6 linked regions of the Macaca mulatta genome follow. The protein of the gene in region 2 interacts with the protein of the main gene of each other region in a pairwise test. Links are inferred from orthologs where the notes say so. Each region holds a gene or a part of one and is shown on either strand. Other genes may lie near its edges. The genes, in order: CRY1, PLSCR1, MVP, ESR2, CCER1 and RGS3.

What was found.
Region 1: the proteins of PLSCR1 (region 2) and CRY1 interact in a two-hybrid assay, tested with the Homo sapiens proteins (2 studies listed by BioGRID and IntAct). The link is inferred for Macaca mulatta from reciprocal best matches to the Homo sapiens genes PLSCR1 and CRY1.
Region 3: the proteins of PLSCR1 (region 2) and MVP interact in a two-hybrid assay, tested with the Homo sapiens proteins (2 studies listed by BioGRID and IntAct). The link is inferred for Macaca mulatta from reciprocal best matches to the Homo sapiens genes PLSCR1 and MVP.
Region 4: the proteins of PLSCR1 (region 2) and ESR2 interact in binary tests that used the Homo sapiens proteins (3 or more experiments, as listed by UniProt). The link is inferred for Macaca mulatta from reciprocal best matches to the Homo sapiens genes PLSCR1 and ESR2.
Region 5: the proteins of PLSCR1 (region 2) and CCER1 interact in a two-hybrid assay, tested with the Homo sapiens proteins (2 studies listed by BioGRID and IntAct). The two-hybrid records come from large-scale screens. The link is inferred for Macaca mulatta from reciprocal best matches to the Homo sapiens genes PLSCR1 and CCER1.
Region 6: the proteins of PLSCR1 (region 2) and RGS3 interact in binary tests that used the Homo sapiens proteins (3 or more experiments, as listed by UniProt). The two-hybrid records come from large-scale screens. The link is inferred for Macaca mulatta from reciprocal best matches to the Homo sapiens genes PLSCR1 and RGS3.

The regions. Positions count from the first base shown.
Region 1 is NC_133416.1:114,206,172-114,209,671, reverse strand, and holds part of CRY1 (cryptochrome-1), read left to right. Parts: intron 1-2,171; coding exon 2,172-2,314; intron 2,315-3,500.
Region 2 is NC_133407.1:49,526,796-49,530,986, forward strand, and holds the start of PLSCR1 (phospholipid scramblase 1), read right to left. Parts: upstream 2,801-4,191; 5' UTR 2,651-2,800; intron 1-2,650. UniProt on the Homo sapiens protein: Catalyzes calcium-induced ATP-independent rapid bidirectional and non-specific movement of phospholipids (lipid scrambling or lipid flip-flop) between the inner and outer leaflet of the plasma membrane resulting in collapse of the phospholipid asymmetry which leads to phosphatidylserine externalization on the cell surface.
Region 3 is NC_133425.1:28,746,393-28,750,478, reverse strand, and holds the start of MVP (major vault protein), read left to right. Parts: upstream 1-1,286; 5' UTR 1,287-1,344; exon of another isoform or gene 1,345-2,734; intron 2,735-3,959; exon of another isoform or gene 3,960-4,086. UniProt on the Homo sapiens protein: Required for normal vault structure. Vaults are multi-subunit structures that may act as scaffolds for proteins involved in signal transduction. Vaults may also play a role in nucleo-cytoplasmic transport.
Region 4 is NC_133412.1:137,370,590-137,374,089, reverse strand, and holds part of ESR2 (estrogen receptor beta), read left to right. Parts: intron 1-29; coding exon 30-329; intron 330-3,410; coding exon 3,411-3,500.
Region 5 is NC_133416.1:98,241,613-98,245,622, reverse strand, and holds the start of CCER1 (coiled-coil domain-containing glutamate-rich protein 1), read left to right. Parts: upstream 1-1,210; 5' UTR 1,211-1,643; coding exon 1,644-2,561; intron 2,562-2,606; coding exon 2,607-2,900; 3' UTR 2,901-4,010. UniProt on the Homo sapiens protein: Regulator of histone epigenetic modifications and chromatin compaction into the sperm head, required for histone-to-protamine (HTP) transition.
Region 6 is NC_133420.1:44,857,290-44,861,513, reverse strand, and holds the start of RGS3 (regulator of G-protein signaling 3), read left to right. Parts: upstream 1-1,424; 5' UTR 1,425-1,629; coding exon 1,630-1,708; intron 1,709-4,224. UniProt on the Homo sapiens protein: Down-regulates signaling from heterotrimeric G-proteins by increasing the GTPase activity of the alpha subunits, thereby driving them into their inactive GDP-bound form.

The sequences.
Region 1 (3,500 bases), on a different chromosome or scaffold from region 2:
TAGCATATACTTACATAGGGTTTATTATGTGTCAGGCACTGTCTCTGCACCTTACTTATTCTACCCATTTTATAGACTAGGAAACAGGTATGGAGAGTTTAGCAGCTTGCCTAAGTAGTTGAGCCAGTCTTTCAACTTAGGAAGTCTAACTTATTAGATCCTGTGTTTTTAAACTATTCTATACCACCTCACTATAAAACAAATAAATAGAATGCTTTTCTATTCTCATCTTAATTTTATTTTTAAATTTCAAAAATAGAAAGTTTATACTAACAAATCTGAGCAATGCTGCAGAATGTAAAAGTTATTTACACACTCAAATTTTATTCCTGAAAGTCAACAGCCCTTAATTTCTTGATGTGCACTCTTCAGGACTTTTAAGAACGGAAAAAATTTTTAATGAGATACTATTTTTTTTCCTAGTAGTTTAGCAGACATTTAAAAACAATTACTGGCTGGGCATGGTGGCTCACGCCTGTAATTCCTGCACTTTGGGAGGCCGAGGTAGATGGATATCAGGAGTTTGAAACCAGCCTGGCCAACGTAGCGAAACGCCATCTCTACTGAAAATATAAAAATTAGCTAGTTGTGGTGGTGTGTGCCTTTAATCCCAGCTACTCAGGAGGCTGAGGCAGGCTTGAACCTGGGAGGCGGAGGTTGCAGTGAGCCGAGATCATGCCACTGCACTTCCGCCTGAGTGACAAAGTGAGACGTCATCTTAAAAAACAAAAAACAAAAAATGATTGCTAATACATATTATTGGCAAGTGTGTGGAGATCAAGCACTTAGGTGCACTGCTGATGGGAATGTAAATTTGTACAGTCTTTCGGGTACCTTAATTTGACAGCCTATCAGAATTTTGAATGTGCTTATCTTTGATCTATCAGTTGTTTTCCAAGGGATTATTTCTAGGAAAAAATTGGATAAATACCCTAAAATTTGTAAGATGTATGCATAAAGGTAAAGATATATACTGTAAAGTTTATAATAGCAATTTTTTTTTTTTTTGAGATGGAGCCTCACTCCTGTCGCTCATGTTGGAGTGCGGTGGCACAATCTCAGCTCACTGAAACCTCCACCTCCTGGTTCAAGTGATTCTACTTCCTCAGCCTGCCCAGTAGCTGGGAGATTACAGGCATGTGCCACCACACCCAGCTAATGTTTTTATTTTTAGTAGAGATAGGGTTTCACCATGTTGGCCAGACTGGTCTTGAACTCCTGACCTCAGGTGATCCACCCACCTCAGCCTCCCAAAGTGCTAGGATTACAGTTTTGAGCCACCGCACCCAGCCTAGAATAGCAGTCTTTTTTAACCCACCATTGAAACAGCCCTTGTCTAATCAGGAGGTGTTTGGTGAATTATATAGTATGTTACCATATAGGCAGTTAAACAATGGTAGAACTTTTTCTTTATGAGATAAATCAGAATAGACTTAGAATTTAAAAAAAAAAAATTATGCTTAAGAAAAATCAACTAATTCCTTTAAGTCACAGTTTCCTCATTTAAAATCAGTGTAAAGAGATGTACAGAACTTACTAATATAGCTCCTGATAATAAGTAACTGCTATTATTATTACCATCTCCAAATTTTTCAGTTAACATTTTTTAGTAATCAGAAAGAAAATATTTACACACACACACACACACACACACACACTCACACACGACCTCAGCCAGGCAGCTTATACCATATCAACTATCAAAAGTTTGTCAAAGATCAGGTCTTAGACTCAACAGACATAAATTCAGGTGGTCTGGCTCTCTGTGAACTCTGGCAAATCCCTAAGTTTTAAAAATAAACCAAAATGGAAATACTAACCAAAGTGCCAAACTCTGAGTGTTGTTTTGAGGCTCGAATGAAATAATGTAAGTATGAGTAATTTGAAAAAGTAAAGTGTTCTACAAACACATTTAGTGTAAGAGCTGGTTTTAAGCATATTGCTTTGCTAGATTGTCTGTTGCCTAGCATAAAGCCTGGAATCTAATGGGTTATGCATTTGTTACTTACGTATTTTTTAATTGATAAATTGTTTACTTTTTCCTGCATATTCAAAGTTTGATTTATGTATAATCATTTGATATGTAGATTTTCAGCTTTTTCACTTTTTGTTATGATAGAAAAAATAACTATTAAAATTGGTGTACATTGTTCCCCCTTCTGTTACTTTAGGAATGGAACATTACTAAACTTTCAATTGAGTATGATTCTGAGCCCTTTGGAAAGGAACGAGATGCAGCTATTAAGAAACTGGCAACTGAAGCTGGAGTAGAAGTCATTGTAAGAATTTCACATACATTGTATGACCTAGACAAGTGAGTTTTTTTTTTTTTTTTTTTACTGTGAGAAAATGCATGTAACATAATATTTACCATCTTAACCATTTTTAAGTATATAGTTCAGTGATATTAACTACATAGATAAGTTTTTAACTGAGGTTTGTGAAGTAGAAATGATAGCGTGTACTTCATAGAGTTTTGGGAGAATTAAGTGAACATATGTCAAATCCTTAGCATTTTATTTAGCCGCTATTGACCTAATGACAGGTCTCAGCATTTCTATTTCAAAACTATTATGGATTAAGACTGTTACAGAATTTTCCTTGACTACTCTTAACTCAGCCTCCTGTGGTCTTGCCTTTCTGGGCTCTTAGCATTATCAATTTTATAGTTATACATAGTTATAAATTGCCTTGACATATTTTGTATGCTTGTTTAATGTTATCTTATTTCATGTATATCTATCTTGTCTATCTGGATTTTAAATCCAGATACAAATTGGATGTAATATAACATTGCATAGCTGTAGTCCTCTGAACAATAGCATAATAGAATATTTCTCAAAGTGTATTTCTTCAGACACCAGTCCTTGGTGATGCTTTGTCCCACAGAAATTCTGTGGTCAAACTTAAATTTAGGGAGTATTGTATGCTATGAGTCTTAGAGGTCTATAAAACTTGTTAACTTTTTAAACTTTTGGCATACCATTGTCCTTTTAAGTACTGAAATCTTATAATTTATTTACCTTTTAAATCATTTTACTTTTTTAGTAATTTATAGATTTTATCAAGTTAGTAAAACAAATTCTGTAACATGACAAACTAGTTGATTTGATTTCACATTTTAAATGTATCAAAAAATCATGATTTGATTCACACAAAGGTCTTACTTGATGCTAAGCTAGAATTCATGTATCTTTTGATAATAATCTTGCCTTAGAGCTCACCAATTTGCTTAACTTTAGGGAGCTCATAGCAAGGAGGGGGCAAAACAGGATAAAAACAGTTGCTTCTAGGTGGGAGACTCAGTGTTATGCATAAAATTAAGTGTTTAGGCCAGGCGTGATAACTCATGCCTGTAATCCTAGCACTTTGGGAGGCTGAGGCAGGTGGATCACGAGGTCAGGAGTTCAAGACCAGCCTGGCCAAAATGGTGAAACCCCATCTCTACTAAAAATACAAAAATTAGCTGGATGTGGTGGCAGGCGCCTGTAATCCCAGCT
Region 2 (4,191 bases):
CCCAGGACTTCTACCTGTGAAGTTCCCTCTGTCTATAATGCCCTCCACCACTACACACACACACACACACACACACACACACACACACACACCCCCAGCCCAGGACTTCTACCTGTGAAGTTCCCTCTGTCTATAATGCCCTCCACCACTACACACACACACACACACACACACACACACACACACACACACCCCCAGCCCAGGACTTCTACCTGTGAAGTTCCCTCTGTCTATAATGCCCTCCACCACTACACACACACACACACACACACACACACACACACACACACACACACCCAGCCCAGGACTTCTACCTGTGAAGTTCCCTCTGTCTATAATGCCCTCCACCACTACACACACACACACACACACACACACACACACACACCCAGCCCAGGACTTCTACCTGTGAAGTTCCCTCTGTCTATAATGCCCTCCACCACTACACACACACACACACACACACACACACACACACACGTCTATAGACTAATTGATTTGAGACTTCCTTCAGCTCTCAATCTGACTCTCCTCAACACCCCCCACGCCACCACCCCAGCCTAAATAGAAGGCTGGCTATACCATCCAGGATTGTGTAAGTAAATTCTATGATGTTCTCACAACCACCAAATTGCCTCATGATGCATTTCTCAGAATGTATTCCTGTCTTTAAGCAACACATGATTATGTTGGACTTCCTAGTCTCCAGAACTGTAAGAAATAAATTTCTGTCCTTTATAAATTACCAAGTCTCAGGTATTCTGCTACAGCAGCAGACAACATATGGAGACATCATTTTTTTCTAATGACTTATTAAAAGAACATATGGAAAACTGAAGAGTGCAACTGTTAGTTCTGATTAACTAAAAAGTGTTTTGGCTTTTTAATTTAGCACTATTCAGGGTAGTGCTATAGAGTGTGTATATACACAGATACACATATATACATATAGAAATACTTCCTATATAAATATTCACTAAATATAAAGCTGGTGTGGTTTTTAAGGAATTAATTGAAGGCATAGAGCATGCAAAGCACTATACCAGGCACTAGAGCACAATACCTAGACACTAGGGAGACAGACAATTAAGAATGTAATAGATTATTATAAACACTCTAAGTGCTATCAATAAAATTAATGTTGCTACAAGAAAGGGTTACAGGACACTAACTTAAACAGTGGTAGGGGGTTTAAGAAAAGTCAGACTGGGAGCTGAAGGAAATCTCAAATCAACTAGTCTACGGAGGTATGGTGGGTGGGGTGTTGGAGGGCATTATAGAGACAGGGAACTTCATAGATAGAATTCCTGAGCTGGAGGAACATGCCTCATTCAAGGAAAGGAAGACCAGTGAGGTTACAGAGCAGAAGAGGGAGACATTCTTAGAGATGAAGACGGAGAGGTACATAAGCGTCTGCTCGCACACATTTGATGTCTCTCCACCTGTACTCTAAGCTCCTTTACAGATCTAAAGGCAGTTTGATCTATAAACCAGCTATTTCACATGCCACTTTGCTATCCAACTGCAGAAATCCATTCATTTCCCTTTATATGTCTTTCATTTCCCTGCATTTTCTCGTTGTTCAAAGCCCTACTATGGTTGTAAACAGGGTGGCATTAAGGGAAAAGTTTGCTCTTAGGAAAAGTTCAAGAAAGGAGGCCCCAAACTGCCTGACACGTTTAAGTGTCACTTGTAGTAACCATGTATCTCAATGTGATAAGCCAGAAAAAAAACAACGACTGCCTGTTCCTGGAACTGGGAAGTGGCCATGCCAAGACTTCCAGGAATAACAGTGCATGAATGAAACCACATGGGAACCGGAGAGTCAGCTTGGAGAAGCAGGAACTTTGTCAAATATTTAAAATAATAAAAGCTCACTTTCACTGAGTACTTTCTGTAGTGCCAGGCACTGCTCTAAGAACTTTACATTAACACATATAATACTCTGTAGCTCTTTTAATAGTTACACAATTTCAGAGATGAGGCAATGGAAAGAATATATATTAAGAAAGTGGCTGACAATCCACAGATGTGAAGCAGTAGAGGCCAAATTTCAAGTCGGGGAGCCTGACTGGAGCTAATGGTCTTAGGAACCGTGCTAGATACCGCCGCTATCTTTTCCAAGCTAGTATTGTAGAGGGTTTAGCATAGATGTGGGCTCCAGGCGGACTTCAGTGAATACTTACTGATAAATGCCAGCTTGCAGGCTGTATTAACCGTCCCTTCTAATAGCCCCACTATGCTGGCACATGCTCCCGAGCCCAGTCTCTGCCCAGGATTCAGCGCCGCTCTCTGCCTGTAGAGCAGTGTAGCTAAGGGGAAGCCGAGCCCCGCGAGGCGTTTTCAGGCAGGACACCCCTTTTCATTCGAATGATTCTGGGTGAGCCCAGGTGCCGCTGGGCCGCCTGGGGCCCCTTGCCGTGCATCTGCTCCACTTACAGGGTCCCTTTCAGAGGTCTCTTGCATTTCTGGCCCCAGCCTTCACCCCACATCCTCCACCCCCAGAGCAGCAAACACAACCGGCTGGCCCTCGCGCCCGTTCCCCGTAAGTTGGCCCCCACACCTGATCCCGGCCCTGGCCCCAGCGCAGGCTCCGCGCAGTTCTCGCGCCCGAGCCCCGGGGAGGCGGCAGAGAAAGCCGCTCGCGCACCTGTGGCTGCCGCTGTTTCCGCTCCCGAGAGAGCCGAGGTCTAGAGAGCCGGGGTCAGGCGGTGGCTTCCTCTCCTGCGCCTCTAGACTGCAAGGCACGGCTACTGCGCAACCTTCTCGGAAATCAGCCGGAACAGGGTCTGCGAGTAACCCTTGCGCCAACAGCCGCGGCTACTGGTTTAGTTTCCTGGATCTTACGTACACAACGCGGTTTCCTTTTCCTGGTTCCCGCGTTCGCGCCGGGGGACCCGCGGGACTATTGCAGGATGAAGAAGCTGGAGGAGGGACTGCACCCACCACCAGTTGTGAGGCCCCTCCCCTACCCCCGACTTGCTTTCTTGCTCATTGGAGAGACTCCAGAGACTTTTGACCGGTGGTTAAGGAGAGGAACTGGGACTCTGTCACTAACTGGAACTGGAAAGTCATCAGCTGGGGAGTGGCCTCCCCCGGGAACTTTCTTTACTCTGACTTTGACCTCCATCCCTCGGAAGCCCGTGGCTTTTCAACGCAAGGAAGCAGAGGCAGCTTAGACTACAAATGAGGAGTGGTCAAAATTGTTTTTTTTTATGGTGCCTTTTCTTTCTTGCTGTCTTGCTCTTTCTTTCCTTCTATTAAATTATGTGATATTATTTTTTATTTTTTTAGGCAGTTATTTAAATGTTTTTAAGAGCTCACCTTATTTTTTAATAAATATTGTTCCTTTTTAAACTAAAATAGTTTTTATTGTCTGTATTTAAGTTATGCGTATGACATATCCATCAACTCCTATAATTACACATTTCCCCCCTTGGGGCAAGAGCAGCTCTAATTTACTCATTTAGCATAAATCCTGAATACCACGATCATTAACTATAGCCCTCATGTTGTACATTAGGTCTTCCCATTTGTTCATCCTACATGTTTGTAACTTTGAATTCTTTGACCTAAATTTCCCCATATCTCCTGACCCTACTCCAACCTGGATGACCCTGGATAAACCGGTGGTCCCCAACCTTTTTGGCACCAGGGACCAGTTTCACGGAAGAGGATTTTTCCATGGACCAGGGTCGAGTGGCAGACGGTTTCAGGATGATTCAAGCATATTGTATGTATTGTGCACTTTATTTCTATTATTGTTACATTGTAATATATACTGATGCTGTCAGTGCAGACACATTTGATGACGTGGTGGCCTTCAATAATTGCTTCTATGTGTTCTTTGTGTTCATGTTTTCATGGTTTCTGTTTTTTTGTTTGTTTGTTTGTTTGTTTTAACAAAACAAAAAAACTCCAAAGGCTTGTCTTTTAACGCAGGGTGCTTGGTCTCCATGTGGCAAAGCAGTTTTGCAGGTTTCGAGGCTTCATTGCATAGTCGATCATCACATATTATACAAAGCAGGGTTGGAGAATGTGAACCACCTGTTGCAGTGAACCTGTAATTTAAGTAGGACTCTTGGCATTTTCCTTTAAATGTGGCTTTATTTTTGTTAGCAGTTTTAGAGTCTTCTGTTGTCTCATCATTGGGTTTTCCCCATTTTCAAAGAAGCTGTCCAGTAATGTTTG
Region 3 (4,086 bases), on a different chromosome or scaffold from region 2:
CGGGTTCAAACAATTCTCCTGCCTCAGCCTCCCGAGTAGCTGGGATTTACGGGCGCCCACCACCACGCCCAGCTAATTTTTTGTGTTGGCCAGGCTGGTCTCAAACTCCTGATCTCGTGATTCGTCCACCTTGGCCTCCCAAAGTGCTGGCATTAACAAGCGTGAGCCACCATGCCCGGCCTGCACTCTTCTTTGAACAGAATTCTGTTCTTGTCCTAGGGCCTTTACTCTTGCCATTCGCCTGTCTGGTGTCTCCCTGGTCTTCACATTACCTGTGCCTTCCTGTCATTCAGGATCTTTGCTGCTCACTCTCTCTGAGGTCCAACCCTGAACCTCAGGTCCTCCAAGACAGAGGCCTGGGAACCTGCATGTTTAACCAACTCCCCAAGTGATGAGTGAAGTCCAGGCAGGTCTGGTGCACACCACCTCCATCTCTTCCATGTATCTTACCTTCCCCTTCTCCAGGAAGCTCAGCCCGGAGCCAGAAACGGGAGGCCCGCCTGGACAAAGTGCTGTCGGACATGAAGAGACACAAGAAGCTGGAGGAGCAGATCCTTCGTACTGGGAGAGACCTCTTCAGCCTGGACTCGGAAGACCCCAGCCCTGCCAGCCCCCCACTCCGATCCTCCGGGAGTAGTCTCTTCCCTCGGCAGCGGAAGTACTGACTCCCACTGCTCCTGCCTCTAGGCTGCAGTGTCTGTACCTGCTGGGGCCTGGGCCCTCCTTCCCCAGCCCAGGCACTGAGAAACTTGGGAAGAAGAGAGAAACCTCAAGCTCCCAAACAGCACATTGCAGGAAAGAGGAAGAGAGAGTGTGAGTGTGTGTGTGTGTGTGTTTTCTATTGAACACCTGTAGAGTGTGTGAGCATGTGTGTGTGTGTGTTTTCTATTGAACACCTATTCGGAGACCTGGACTGAATTTTCTGAGTCTGAAATAAAAGATCCAGAGCTATCATCTCTTAAAAGGAGGGGCTGTAGCTGGAGCTCAACATTTAGGCCCCACTTCAAGGGAGAGGCAGAATTGTATTCACCCAGATTGGAAAATGAATGCCAGATGGGCAGAGGCGCACCTGCCCCATCTCGGGCCCTCCAACCCCTCCCAGTCCCACTCCAGTGCAGGCAGCTGGCTCCGAGGCAGAAACTCATGAGCACGCAGGGAGCAGTGCGCCCTCAGCTGCAGCAGAGGCAGCCCGGAGGATAAAATGAGAACCAGCTGCACGGGCTCTTTAACTCCCAAGCCCCACCCCTGGGCCTGGCCTGCCTTGCCCTGCTGGGAAGTGATCCCCTAGGCTGGGTGAGAGTTCCCCATCCAAGGCGTTGGTTGCAGCTAGCTGCACTTCTAGATGTGAGTACATTGTACTAGCCCCCCAAACCCCAAATCAGGGGCAGATCTTTGTATCCCTCGAGGCTCTCTTTATTCCTGTCTTGCTTTCAAGGGCCTTGCTTCTGCTGGGGCAGGGAAAACATGTCTGAATCAGAGCGGGGAAGGAGGATGGGCGGTGGCTTTGCTTTGGGAGGTTTCACTTTCCAATAGTTGGGGTTTTCTGGGTTTTGAAGTAAAGGCAGATTAACTCACCAACACCATCCCCCAGCCCCCTGCAACTCTCGGGCCCCTCTCTGACTTCAGGGTCCCACATGGGAAATCAGGTGGGGGACCTTACAGGGTCATTCAGACCCCATCTTAGTGCTAGATCGGTGCTTGCTCTACTTGCCTGCACTGTCCTGGGACCTGGGCTCTGACCTGTCCCCATTCAGGGCCCTTAACTATGACAGATAAGGTTTGTTTCTGCTCCACGCAGGGCTGGGCCAGCTGTTGGCCTCCGTCAGTCATTCAGGAAGTCATTAGAGTGATTTCCAGAAGGTGTAGAATTTAGTGGCCAAGGTTCTTTCCTTTTTGGGAGGAGAAAGTGAAAACTAGGATGCTCAGCTGGACCCACCAGCCTGAGATTCTGGGGAGCTTAGAGCTGTCCCTTGGGAGTGAAGCACTTGGGGGTGGGGGTGATAGCGAGGCTGATGGCCCCTGTGTTCTCAGCTCTCCGCCTGGGTGGCCCCTGGGTGATGGGGGAAAGGACAGCTGTCACGTGGGGTATCAGGTGGCTCTCAGAAACTCCCTTGGCACACAGCACTGGGTTGGCCCTGGGGTGTGGCTGTTTGGGCAAGACAGCCCTCTGTAGCCTTGAGCAGGTAGGGGGGCCACCTTGAGTGGGTGGCCCAGAGACAGCCTCAGGGCTCCAAGGTAACGGGGTGCTCAGGTTATCTTGGGTGCCGCCTTCCCAGGTTGTGGGGGAGCAGAGGCTGGGCGCTGGCTCAGCTTGTAGGAAACACTCACCTTTGAATTGCCATTGGCGCCATCTGGGCAGTACCCCGCCCCACCCAGGTCCTCTAGTCCTTATTCTTGGCTTAGAATCTTCCTGTTTCTGCCTGAGAAGCCACTGCCTCCTAGTTTGTGGTCTCTACAGTCATACCCAGATTAGACTTCCGGCTCCATCCTTTGATAACTGTGTCCTCTTGGGCAAGTTTTTTAACTTCCAGGTTCATTGTGAGGATAACATGAGTCAGAGGACACTTAACACTGCCTGGCACAGATTAAGCTCATTGGAAATGGGAGTTGTTACTGGGGGGCGTTTGCCTGGAACACAGGGAAAGAGGCTCTCTCCTGGAAACCTAGACCCAGTGGGTCAGAAGTGAGGCCTGCAAAAAGCAGCGGGAGCGGGATTAAGAATTCCAGCCCAGGGCTGGGTTTGGTGGCTCAGGCACCCAGCATTTTGGGAGGCCAGGGTGGGAGGATGGCTTGAGGCCAAGAGTTCCATGCCAGCCTGAGCAACATGAGACCCTTGTCTCTGTTTTGTGTGTGTGTGGTTTTTTGTTTTGTTTTGTTTTTAAAGAATTATAGCTCAGTTCTATGATTAGGCAAGTTTAGAAAATAATTAATGAAGATCGGGGTTCTGAAGCCTGGTTCCTGGGTCGCTTCTGATCTAGGAGGTTCTTGCCTCTGGTGACTGGTCTTAATTGGCAGGGGTGGGAGGAGGGAGGGAGGACAAGTGGAGGTCTGGGCTGGCTGAGCTGTTCTGTCTCCCCCTCACCTCCCAAAGGCCACCAGGCTGCTCCCCTTCCCACAAAGTGGCCCAGTTAGACTGGAGCTCACAAACAATTTCCTTGGGAAGAATCATTCCTAAAACTGTGCTGCTTAAAAACAAAAACAAAAAAAAAAGTGAGACAGATTCTCAATTTCCATTAATGGTCTCCTAAAGGGGGTAAACCAGGAAGCTGCTGGGTGAAAACAGGCTGCTGGCAGTTCCTGAGTCATGTGACCCATTCTCTAAAGACTACAATATTTAAATCAGTGAGAAACTCCGTGAAGTTGTGTCCTTGTTTATACCAAACTTCATGTGCCTTTTCCTGAACCTGAAGCTGTGGTAAGGTCTGGGGGCGGGGCCAGGTCACCGACCTCGCCTCCAACCTCAGGACGGCCTGGAGCAAGAGCCCTGGGGTTGGAGACAAAGGAGGCTGCTTGGACCTGGGTAAGGGAAGGGGCTGGAGGAGAATGAGTGCAATTCCCTGCCCTTGATGAGCAGCCTGCAATCGGAGCTGTGTTTTTGTTTTTGAGACAGTCTCTGCTCTGTCCCTCAGGTGGGAGTACGATGACGCAATCTCAGCTCACTACAATCTCTGCTCCTGGGTTCAAGCAATTCTCCTGCCTCAGCCTCCTGAGTAGCTGAGACTACAGGTGCCTGTCACCATGTACGGCTAATTTTTGTATTTTTAGTAGAGACGGGGTTTCACCATGTTGACCAGGCTGGTCTCGAACTCCTAAGCTCAGGCGATCCTCCTGCTTCGGCCTCCCAAAGTGCTGGGATTACAGCCACAGCGCCTGGCCTGGAACTGATCTTTATCCTCCTCCCAGTTCCTACTGTGCACCAGAAACCTTCCAGTCTCTAATACCTTTGACTTGAAGCAGTCACTTTTTTTCTTTTTTTTTTTTTTTTTTTGAGATGGCCTCACTCTTGCTCAGGCTAGAGTGCATTCCTGTGCTCCATTTATGGCTCACTGCAGCCTTGATCTCCCAGGCACAGGCAATCCTCCCACC
Region 4 (3,500 bases), on a different chromosome or scaffold from region 2:
AATTTGAATGACCCTGCTTTCCTTTTCAGGCTCCCGGAGAGAGAGATGTGGGTACCGCCTTGTGCGGAGACAGAGAAGTGCCGACGAGCAACTGCACTGTGCCAGCAAGGCCAAGAGGAGTGGTAGCCACGCGCCCCTAGTGCGGGAGCTGCTGCTGGACGCCCTGAGCCCCGAGCAGCTGGTGCTCACCCTCCTGGAGGCTGAGCCACCCCATGTACTGATCAGCCGCCCCAGCGCGCCCTTCACTGAGGCCTCCATGATGATGTCCCTGACCAAGCTGGCCGACAAGGAGTTGGTACACATGATCAGCTGGGCCAAGAAGATTCCCGGTAGGGCTTTCGGGCTATTAGTTTTCCGTGTACTTGTAGAAAGGCCTGCTGCTAATATTTAAAGGACAAGAGTATAAAGTAGAGGTCTGTGAGCTGTGCCTAGATATTTAACGGTTTCTCAGCTGGATTTGTAACTTTTGAGTGCAATATGTTCCTTCCTCCCGTCTTGGCATAGCTACCTTCAACAAGGCCACGTTCTGATTTAGAATTCTGAGACGACTCTGAGTTCTGTACCCAACATGGTAGTGAAGAAAGAGTTGTGCGTGGCCCAGCCATTTCTATTCTTGACTCTCTTCTTTTCCTGTGGCTAGATGCTTCCCATACTACCTGGCACAAACCCTATCCTGTGTGTCCACATCTGCTACAGACACTCACCTGTTGGCCCCCTCTCATGCCTAGAGGTGGTCTGGGAGGATGGACCCAGGGAACCCACCCAGACTCTGGAACTGGGCTTGGGGTCATTTGGGCAAGAAATCCTAGAGTTCTGGAACCTGGAACGTGGTTAAAAGGTAGACTCTACATTGCCCCATTTCTTGGCTCTGGATTCCTCACCTTGAGAGGAGGGGCATGGTTGGGTAGGGTGGGGTAGAGTACAGTATGACTAGTTTGAAAGTGAAAGGTTTGTCAGATGCTAAATAGAATTTTGTAAATTATTGTTCCAATAGAGAATCAGTATTATATACACAAATGAATATGTATGGACAAAGAGAGTAAATCAGTGGTTGAAGTTACACGAATCATCAGTGGGCCCATAAACTTGGAATGCCATCAAGTTAAAAATGAGCTTAGTTACTCATGAGTTATCATTTGGAACCTGCATTTTCCATCCTCTAAAGTGATCACTTCTCCCAAGCCCATTTGTAATACAGACCTGAAGTGCTGTATGATGCTGAAATTACCAGCTAATTATCATTTGACGTGGTGTTTCTGTGAAAGAGTGAATCTAGGATTCTAACCTAAAATGGCAACATCCCACAATCCCCCTGTGAAAGGTTCTCCATGCCCTTCTTTACAGTCCTTGAAGAAATGAAGCCTCTTACAAGTTCTGAGCCACTGGGGGCGTTCCCATGGCCTGGAGGGCAACGACTGCACTGGGCAAGCTGTAAAGATGAGGAGGGGCGAGAAGCTGGGGGAAGAGAAGTTTCGGGTAAAGAGCCCAGGGAACTGAGGCCTACGGTGACAGTATCATTTGGGGACTTTTGTTGAACTGGGCCCATTTCTTCTGAGCTTGCTGAGGATTTTTGGTTTCGAGTTGTATTTTGTTTTGTCTATCATCTTCACCTTTGCCAGAATTATTTTTTTTCTCTGCTTTTTCCTGGAGGAGGCAATCCTGATGCACTTTCCTCTAGTTTTTGCTTTAAGTGTATTCCAAACACGATTTCGCAGGACCACACACGGAGAGCAGTGATGAAATTAATTATTGCTGAAAGCTGTGCCCCTTCTTTGTGCCATAAGAAATCTGAACTCTTAAACTGCGTTATTCCTTATTCAAGCCTGGTGTTTTGAAAAGTTTTCAGGAAACGTAGGCATAGTCTGGAGGTGTGATTTTTCCCCCTCTCTTACCTGGCATGGTCATTGTCCAAACCCAAAAAAAAAAAAAAAAATTAAAATATCATCTAGCCTTGATCTTGTTGAATATCTACAAGGTTAAGAGCCATGATCTCTTGGGTAGGCTTATTGTCTATTACTGTGGGTGAGATTGGGAAGGTGTATACATATTAGGAACCTAAACTGAGCAAAGCATGTGGATTTAGAAAGTATTTATCCGTCTTTACACTCATAACACCATTACATTCTCCTTGAGACAGATTTACATTATAATTGTTCAAAGACTTGAACACTTATGTTCTCTCTGCCATAGTTTCCTCATCTGTAAAACAAGAATAAGAGATCTTGCCTATAGGACATTCTCAGAGATAGGCATTGTTACCTCCATTTTCCTATAAGAAAAACAAAGATTTAATGGGAGATTAAGTGACCAGCTAGAAAGAGGCTGAGCTGGAGTTCAAACCAGAGTCCATTTCACTCCAAGGCTGTGTCTTTTGTTGCCATATTTATATTAAATGGCCGTCTCCTTTTATCATGGCTTGTGAAGGAAGCCCCGGTGTTCTCTGCTTTGCTTTTGAAGTGCTTCCTTCCCCAGAGATTACCTGTTTCCAAACAGTACTGTGACCAACATGAGTTATTAGGTTGTCAGGACCTGCTTTGTTATTATATTTGCTCTTTATTTTATTTATTTATTTATTTAGACAGGATCTTGCTCTGTTGCCCAGGCTGGAGTGCAGTGACATAATCTCAGCTCGCTGCAGCCTCGACCTCCCAGGCTCAAGCAATCCTCCCACTTCAGCCTCCAGAGTATCTGGGACTACAGGCACCTGCCACCATGACCAGATAATTTTTTGTAGAGATGGGGTTTCTCCATGTTGGCCAGGCTGGTTTCAAACTCCTGGGTGCAGGCAATCCACCCGCCTTGGCCAACCAAAGTGCTGGGATTACAGGTGTGCGCCATTGTGCTTGGCGATATTTGCTGCTTAGGATAGAATCGCCCAGAAACAGTGCTTCTACCCGGAAGGATCTTAACACTGGATGGGAAATTTTAAGCAATCAGAGAAATCCTTGAAGTTGAGGCCTTGGCTTTCTGTGGGGGCTGACACTGCTGTCTGCAAGCCTCCAACCCCAACCTCCACCTACCCCATTCCCCCACCCCTTCTGATCCCAGTCAAAGATTGGGTCAGACAGGCAGCTCCTCTGACTGGCAACCAAGCATCAACCTTCTCAGTAGTGCAGAGGAATTATCAGGACACAGCTAACCAAGATCAGTTCTGAGCCCAGGTCATCACGCTTGACAAACTCTAAATGAAGTATATTTGTCTCTAGAAGGGGTCCAAGACTGGAAACTGAGTCACGCAGCTTAACTTCAAAGTTTTCTTCCTTTAATGAGTAGTCAATCATATCTATAAAATATCGATTCCCTAATGGTTTGTGTTTTCTTAGTGTTTTAACACTTGCCATTCTGTCTCAACAGACACAGGTAGCTGAGGAGGAGGGTGCGGGTGTCTCACCGCCTCTTGCTTTCCCCAGGCTTTGTGGAGCTCAGCCTGTTCGACCAAGTGCGGCTCTTGGAGAGCTGTTGGATGGAGGTGTTAATGGTGGGGCTGATGTGGCGCTCAA
Region 5 (4,010 bases), on a different chromosome or scaffold from region 2:
ATAATAAAAGTAATGCCAAATTTTCTTTGAAAAAAAAAATAAGCTTATTTTGGTTATACATGATAATTTAATAAATATATTTGAGAAAAAAAAAAGGTAGTATAATCGTGGTATGGGTAAGGAAACTGAGGCTTACAGAGATAAATAATTGGTGAGTTGAAGTTGAACCCCATTTATTTAAATTAAAACCCATATGCTTAACCACAGTGCTTTAAAGGCTTCCTGTGTACAGACTGTATGGTCAGTGAAGGGACAAAAGGAAAAACAATCTGAATATTCCTCTTCCCAAGGACAAACCTGTGGTATTCATCCTGGTAATAATAGTATTTGTTTAATTGAGGTACATGTGTATGGTATATTACCGATAACAAAGTACGTTCCCAAATGCATGTCATTTAGTTATCACAAGGGTCCTACTGATGGTTTGGTAGAACATACAGCAATGCCATTAAGAATCTAACTTTAGCATCAAACAGGCTTAGGCTTAAATAGTAGCCCGAAAATGTATTAGCCCCACAACCATGGGGAAATTAACCCCTCAGTTCCCTCATCTGTGACAGGTGATAAGATACGCCTACCTCTCAGGGTAGATGACAGGATTATGTGTCAGGAAGCACATGCAATAATAAATGTTTGTGGCCTTGTTTTATGTATTATGAATTCCATTTCCCCGGAGTAAGAAGAGTTGGCACCGGCCAGAAAGTAAGAGGTTGGGCCAAGTTTTCTTTCTCCAGTAATTTTCCATTAATTTTCTATTAATACAAAAGAGGTGATATAGTACATGTAAAGACACTTGTGCTTGATGTAAAAATAGGCATCCCTACCCTGGCTTTGTCATTTTACCCTCCAAAGGTGTAGAATGTGGGGTTTTCAAAACTCAAGTTCTCCCGCCCCCACCGGGTTCAGATGAAGGCCCATCTTCTAAACCCCTGCCTCAAGGTGACACAAAGCTTTCGGATAAACTGCCTCCAGACGTGCTTGAATTGAGCAGCACAAACCCAGCCTGAGCCCCTCTTCGCCTCCCCCAAACGCTACGTCACAAGCCCCCTGCGAATGTTCACCTAGAGCCTGGTTCCAGCCAGAACCCGGTCTTGCACACAGGGAGGACGATTTCGACCCCAATTGGCTGTTGCCCTGGGCGACCAAGAACGCGGTGGGCACGCGGGAGACCACAGCCAGTATTTAAAGGCTGCCGCTGCCCTCGCCACCCCAGTCCTGCCAGGACGGCGACAGTGAAGCACCTGGGTTGAGAGGTAGCAGCAGGTAACTGCGCAACCCCTGCCTCCCCCGGCCCCAGCCCGTGCCTCAGCAGAGCCGGGTGTGGGGGGGACCCGGGAGTGGGTCTCACTGCGTGTCGCCTGCCAACACCTTCCTCCCCCACCATCCTTGCCCAGCCCCAGTCCCACCCAGCACACCTGGGTGAGACAACCCAGGTGCGAAGGACAAGCGATTACTACCGAAGAGCTCGCAAACCAGGAAGAGAGCGGCCTCCTGGAGAGAAAACGTGATCCCAGGGGTAGACACGTGGCACTGCGTGGAGAGACAGGGTGACGAGACGAGGCTCTTCTGACCGTCCTATCTGGCAAAACTTGACGACAGCTTCTGGGTCGCTACCATCTAGACCTCTCAGAGCTCCCCGAACGATGACTCAGACCCTCGACACAAGGGAAGACCCTCTGAACCTGGGCGGCGGTGGCTGGGCACACTCGGCCTCCTTGAGCTCCTGGTCGTCCTGCCATCGAAGGCGCCAGGGCGCTCCAGTGTACAATAGGCCGCACCGCTATAGCCCCAAGACCGAGTATGGGCCCCCAAGGAAGCAGCCGAAGCAACAGCACGGCCCGGGCTTTTGGTTCCAACCACCCGTGTGCTTTAACTGGGGGTGCTGGGGAGGGCCCTGGCGCCCACCCCCTCCAGGATTCCGGAAGTTCCATTGCCCAGTGCAAGTGTTTCGGGTGTATGGCCTGCACCCTCTCTGCTTTTGCTGCTGCTCCTGCTGGAACGGGTCCTGGAACCCTAGCTGGGCGAGGCCCCCAGGCAGGAAGAAGCGCTGGGGCCGCAGGGGTCGCGGCCTGCGCCACCACCCTCGCCGCTCCTCCCCGCGGAGCCCGCCAGCGAATGTGAGCACGCTGCCGCGGCCGGTCAAGCTGTACGAGTGGAGAGAGCCTGGCATGCGAGCGCCGCCCAACACCACCCAATTCATCATGAACCAGATCTACGAGGACATGCGGCAGCAGGAGAAGCTGGAGCGTCAGCAGGAGGCGCTGAGGGCGCAGAAGGCCCCGGTGAGCGGCGAGGCCTCCCCGGCCAGATCCTCCGGAAACGACGCGCCCCCTGGCGGCAGCGAGGAAACCTGGGGACTGCAGGAAGCTCTGTATGGCTTTGTGCAGAATCCCTCTCTAGCATTCAGTCCTAAATCAGAGGAAAACCAGTCTCTTGCCCCGTTGCTGGTGGAGGAAGAGGAGAAGAAAAATGATGATGAGGAGGAGTATGACCAGGAGGTGTGTGATGCAAAGGAGGTGAGCGAGGAGGAGGAAGAAGAGGTTGAAGATGAGGAAGAAGAGGTCGAAGATGAGGAAGAAGAGGTGGAAGATGAGGAAGAGGAAGAGGTCGAAGATGAGGAGGAGGAAGAGGTCGAAGAGGCTGAATATGTGGAGGAGGAGGAGGAGGAGGAGGAGGAGGAGGAGGAGGAGGAGGAGGTAGAAGGGGAAGAGGAGGTCCTGGAGGAGAACGAGCAGAGAGGGGAAGAATTTCATTTGCCTCTGGAAATGCCTTTATCAATCTTCGTAGAGGCTGAAGAAAAGAGAGAGAACTTTATAAGCTGCACTTTTTTAAACCCAGAGCAGATAATTCCCAAAGTGCCACAGGAATCCCTGTTCACTGCACAGGACTTTAACTGTTAGACATCAGAAAAGGGATTGAGGAAAGGGATGGAACTGATTTGAGGCTAAACTGGATTAGCAATTTATTAAAAACTGATTAAAAAGTGAGTTCCATTAATAAACAGATGTAAACACCTTCTTTGGCCATTATAAAATGCTTAAAATTTGATGCGTATGTGTATGACTATGGGTGGTGGTGGGGGAGCTTTCAAATATAATTTTACTGGAACTGATTAAAGGCCAAGTATTTTATTACTACCATTAGAATATTTTCACCTGGTGTTTTCCCCACTAGAAAACAAAGTTGCTGTTTTTTTTTTTTTAAATCTATAAATGCTGGAAAAGCGTTTGTTTTTGAACAAATTTATACAACTTAGCCACTTAATGAGCTTGGCATGAAGAGATAGTTTGTTACATGCATAAGAAAGCACATTCTAACGCTACTGAATGTTCACCAGTGCTCTTAACATAACTGAAGCCATTTTCAATCCCTGTATTTTTTTTCAACAATATTTTACCTCGTAGATTTTTCCACCATCAGAGTTCATTTTTGAGGGCTGTATTTTGTTAACCCCATTTGCAGTCTCTTGTGGCATCGCTTATTGATATTCCTTGTTCCACAGTGCTATGGATCTTCCTCAGAAAAACATGAAGTTGCTTCTGTGGAACTGGTTATCTGCCATGGCCTCAACAATCCATAATCCAGTCATGGAGAGGATTCCCCATGGTTAGAAGTCAACTTGCACATCTAGTTAAAGTCCAAGGTAACTGCAAACAATGGAACATAGCTTAGGTTTTGAAGCCTCTTTATTGGATAGAGTCTTTATCCTAAGTTCTGAGGAGCCATAAAAAATGTTTTGCAGAATAGATTTTTTTAGAGAAAAAGATTATTGACCTTTTGGGGGTAGAATATCTTACTTCATTTTTCAATTTGTCTTTGTTATAAAGGAGAGTAAAAGATGTGTAAGCGTGAGTCTGTGTGAGCTGATTTCTGATGTCTAAACAGCAATTACTTATGGAGAATACATCATTCAAAATAATAGCTTTTGTTCAAACATTTTTAGGAAGTAATAATACATTTCTTCCTGGACAGTTGATAAAAGTTCCATCCATAGCATATTTCCAGAATAT
Region 6 (4,224 bases), on a different chromosome or scaffold from region 2:
GGTGCAGGTAAGTCCATCTGTCATTGGCTTGAGGCTAGGAGAGTGGACCTGCTCTTGTTAAAGGCAGTGTTCACTGTGTGTGTGTGTAACTGGGGTTGGAGGGGGAGAGCGGGGTGGGGGGTACAGTAAAGAGCAGGGTAGGACTTCACGAAGTGCCAGGATTCAAACAATCCTATGGCATTTATGTGACTTATCACCAGTTTGCTGATTCAGGGCTCCTTCTCCAGTTTCTGTTCCTCACTGGTGGCCACCTGACCCTGTGGCGTTTGCTCTCTGCACCTGCTGTTGGCCATGGGGCAGATGTGGAGGCCAAGGAAGAATAGGACAATGGTGTTTAGGGCAGACAGGCCTGGGTTCAAATTTCAGCTGTGCCTATTCCTAGCTCTACAAACCTTGGGCATGTCACCTGTCTTCTCTGCCTGAGGTTCAGATTTCTTCCTGGTAAATTGGGGCTAATACTTATTAGACATACTGTGAAGATTAACTGAGATGATATGTGTAAATTGCCCAGCTCAGCCTCTGGCATCTGGTACTCAACACATAACTCTTCTCTCCACTTTCTCTCTTGCATCTCCCCATCTTGTTTTTGAGTGGATCACTGAACCACAAATATCCACTTGGCGATGAAGTCTGGGGAACAGGGACAAATACCAACACTTCCCATTTTTAGATTTACGAGACTAACAGCTTTCCTTCCCACAGTGGCAACAGTCAGAGATTTGCAGAGCAGATGTCTTGGTGTGAAACTGCTATCCGGAGGTGTCCTGTAAATGTTTGCCGACAAAGCAGCACAGGGGTTGACCTTCCAACTCTGCCTTACTGCAGCAGGCTGGGGGATTCACCCATCCCCTCTGTTTCCTGTGCCTTCCTCTTTCTCAGAGGCTGTAGGCCTGTCCTGCTGTCCGGTGGCATCAGGCTGTGGGATGGGGGGCCATCAGGTTGGTTGGAGCAAGCTGCTCCCATCTGGACCTGTGTCAGGCAGCACTTGTTCAAGAGGAGGCTCAAGAGAGTGATCCAGGACGCAGGGTTTGGGAAGAGGATGCAGCCTGGTGGGGGGCAACTTGTCCAAGCACAGAGAACACTTCTCCAAACCTCATTGCCCTGGACCATCGGGTGCTCCTTTGCCTTTGCTTGGATCTAATGATTATAGGTGTGAGCTTCAAAGCAGGTTATAAACCCGACTAATTGCTGGTCTAGGAGAGCTGGACCAGGAGGCCAAGCCTGCCCAGAGTAGAGTGGGCACCCCGGACTGGGGCTTCTCGTGGGACTGGCCCTTCAAACTGGGAGCGCGGTGCTGGGGCCGGGAGCCCCGGGGTGGCCGCACGGTCCTGCCAGCTCCTGGGGTGGCTGCCCTCTCTGCTCAGCGCGGGTCCGCGGCGCCGCCTCTCCCACCCCGGCCCTGCGCTGCTCTGGCAGGTGGAACTCTCCCCATTCAAACCCGCGCGGGCCAATCAGGGCCGGGCGCGCCCGGGCCGTTCCAACGCGCGGGGCAGCCCTGCCTCCCGCTCGCGCTCCTCCCGCGCTGGAGACTCCGGCGCAGGGGGCGGTGAGCCTGCTGCCTCGGTTACTGGGGAGCAACACAGCCGCCTTGGGTTTCAGGCACTCCTGTCCGAGTCGCAGTGGGACGCCATGGAGCGCTCCCTGCACCGCGTCTCCCTCGGGAGCCGGCGTGCCCACCCGGACTTGTCCTTCTACCTCACCACCTTTGGTAAGTGCCCGCTGGGGCCGGCGGCAGGGGCTGCCTCACCCTGTTCCCAGCGCCCGGAAATGCAGCCCCTCGTGGTGACAGGCGAGGCTGGGAGCAGGTGCTCTTTCTATCTGGGGTCACCTTCTCTGGCCCCTTTCTCCTGTGACTGCCCAGGAGGGGCTCAGGGCACAGGCTCAGTCCAAGCAAGCTGCTGGACACCACCTGCTGTCCGACCATGGGTGCCAACTGCAGTTGGTTCTGCCTCACTTGGCTGGAATAATCACACTCTAGTTAATCTTTCAGAGACCCAGGTTGTCACCACTGAGTTTCTCATTAGCAAGCAGCTCAGGTTAAATCAAGGTCTTGTTATAGCAACAGGAGATCTCATTCACCCACTTTCCTTTGGCTCAGGGAGCGGACAGGTGCTGGATCCTTTGGCTCTGCTGCCTTGCAGGCTCACCTTGGAGGCTGCAATCTGACTTTGTTGGGTATCTGAGCCACAGTAGAGATGGGAGAATTCTCTCCTCCAAGACAGAACAATCCCTTAGGAGGGTCCCAGGGCTGCCTCAGGGTTTGAGGTGGAAAGAAATGAACAGCAGGCCTCACTCCCAAGCCCCTAGGTAGCAGACTGAGTTTCCCCAAATAACAGCTGGGCGGCAGCTGCCCAAAGGCCTGGACAAACCTGTCCTTCCTGATAGCCATAGTAAAGGTAGCAACCCTACCCTAGAGGATAGCCCTTCATTTCCTCACTGGTCCTGCAACTCCCTGTGGAGAAGGGTTATTTTTCCTCTGTGAAGACTTGAAACTAAGAAGTCTTCCATGAGCCAGTGGCAGAGTTGGTAGCTGAGCTTAAACCTTCAAGAGATGACCCATCCAGCGCATTTTTGTTTGAACTTGCATACAATTTCCTTCTAAAGGTTGGGGCTGTTATTGCAACATAACTGGACATTGCCCAGCTTTCAAAGACAGACTGCCCAAGGAGTTGGTCCCTCCCTGGGGTTCCTGGCTGTTCTGCTTTCAGGCTTACTCCTGCCCAACACACTTGGTTTTCCACAACCTGCTTTTTTTCCCTAGGGGTAGAGGGAATGATGGAAGAGCAATGGCTTGGCCCCTTGAAATTGCCTGACGTCTGGCAGCAGGAATTCTCTGGTCCAGTTGGTGGAAGATAAAGGGCAATTAACTAGCCATCATTTGTTGAGCACTTACCATTGCCATTCCTTATGTCAAGTGTTTTACCTGCATTATCTCACTTAATGCCCCAGCCTAGGAGGCAATTCCTGCTAACCCCATTGGGATGCAGGGCTCTATGAGACAAGGGTGGTTTCCAGGATGATCTGTGTTGGCTGGGCTAGGAGTGGTCAGGAAAGGGTGTCAGGGAGCTGTGAGGCCCTCTTACCTTAGCTGTCTCCTGATTAAAAAGTAAAAATGTGTTTGCTTTTTTCCTCCTTATTATCATGGTAACATGTGTTTACTGCTGAAAACTTAGTTAAAAGAAGAAAGTGAAAATCACTTGTAATCTGACTTCCCAGGGAGACAGACCACTGTTAACTTTCTGATTTATATCCTTCCATGCTTATTTCCATACCTATTTCTCTCTCTGTGTGTGTGTGTATTTAGACATCAAATTTCAATACAATTGAGATCAAGTTTGTATGGACAATTTTGTAACCCATATGTTTTCCTTAGTGGCCTGATGTGAATATTTCCTTGCATTGGTCCATGTTCTTCTATTGGATTAATCTCCCTGCCAGATCTGGGAAGTTGGGGAGGATTCAGGCCCAGCAGGGAGTGGATCTTCCTGCCCAGCCATGGCCTCAGGGCTGAGTCCGATGGGTATCAGGGAAGGTTGCTGCTTGAAGAAGTGGCTGTGACCTGAGTGTGCAGGAGGCAGGCAGGAGCCTGGGTGGGGTGGGAAGCCACCTGCTTTTATTTGTGCAGGCTCCTCTCACATCTCTCTTGAGAGTATTTGAGAAATTCTCTCCTGTTTCCTGCACTGGTTGTGTTTCCCTGGGTGCCATTTGTCGTGGTGCCCCTCTTTCAGGCTGCTGATTTTCTTTATCCACTATGATCTTTGCTGATCTGCTTATGAGCAAAGATTCTTATCAGTGGTTTCCAAACCTGGCCAAATATCAGAAGCATGTGGGGAGCCTGTTAAAAAGACACAGATTCCTAGAATCTTCTTCCGGAGACTCTGGTTTAATAGGTCTGGGGTGGATCCTGAGAATATGAACATTTAAGAAGCCGCAGAGTGTTCTGACTGTCTGTCATCCAGGTTTGGAAGCTATGGATTCAGCGTCAGTTTTGTAGCCAGTGGGGACCACTTTTACTGTGAAGGTTTTGGCTAAGTTTTTCAGTCCGCTGGCCTTTCCTTAGCATAGTAGGTAGCCCCTGGCCTTATACAGTGAGCTTTGCCTTGGTAGAACCAGGTGAAGATGTTGCTTAGCTAGTAGTTTCCTGAACACAGACATGTAAAGGGAGCGTAATCATCTATGGAAATATAAAGAGACAAAACTGTTTTGATCTGAATTCCCTTTGGG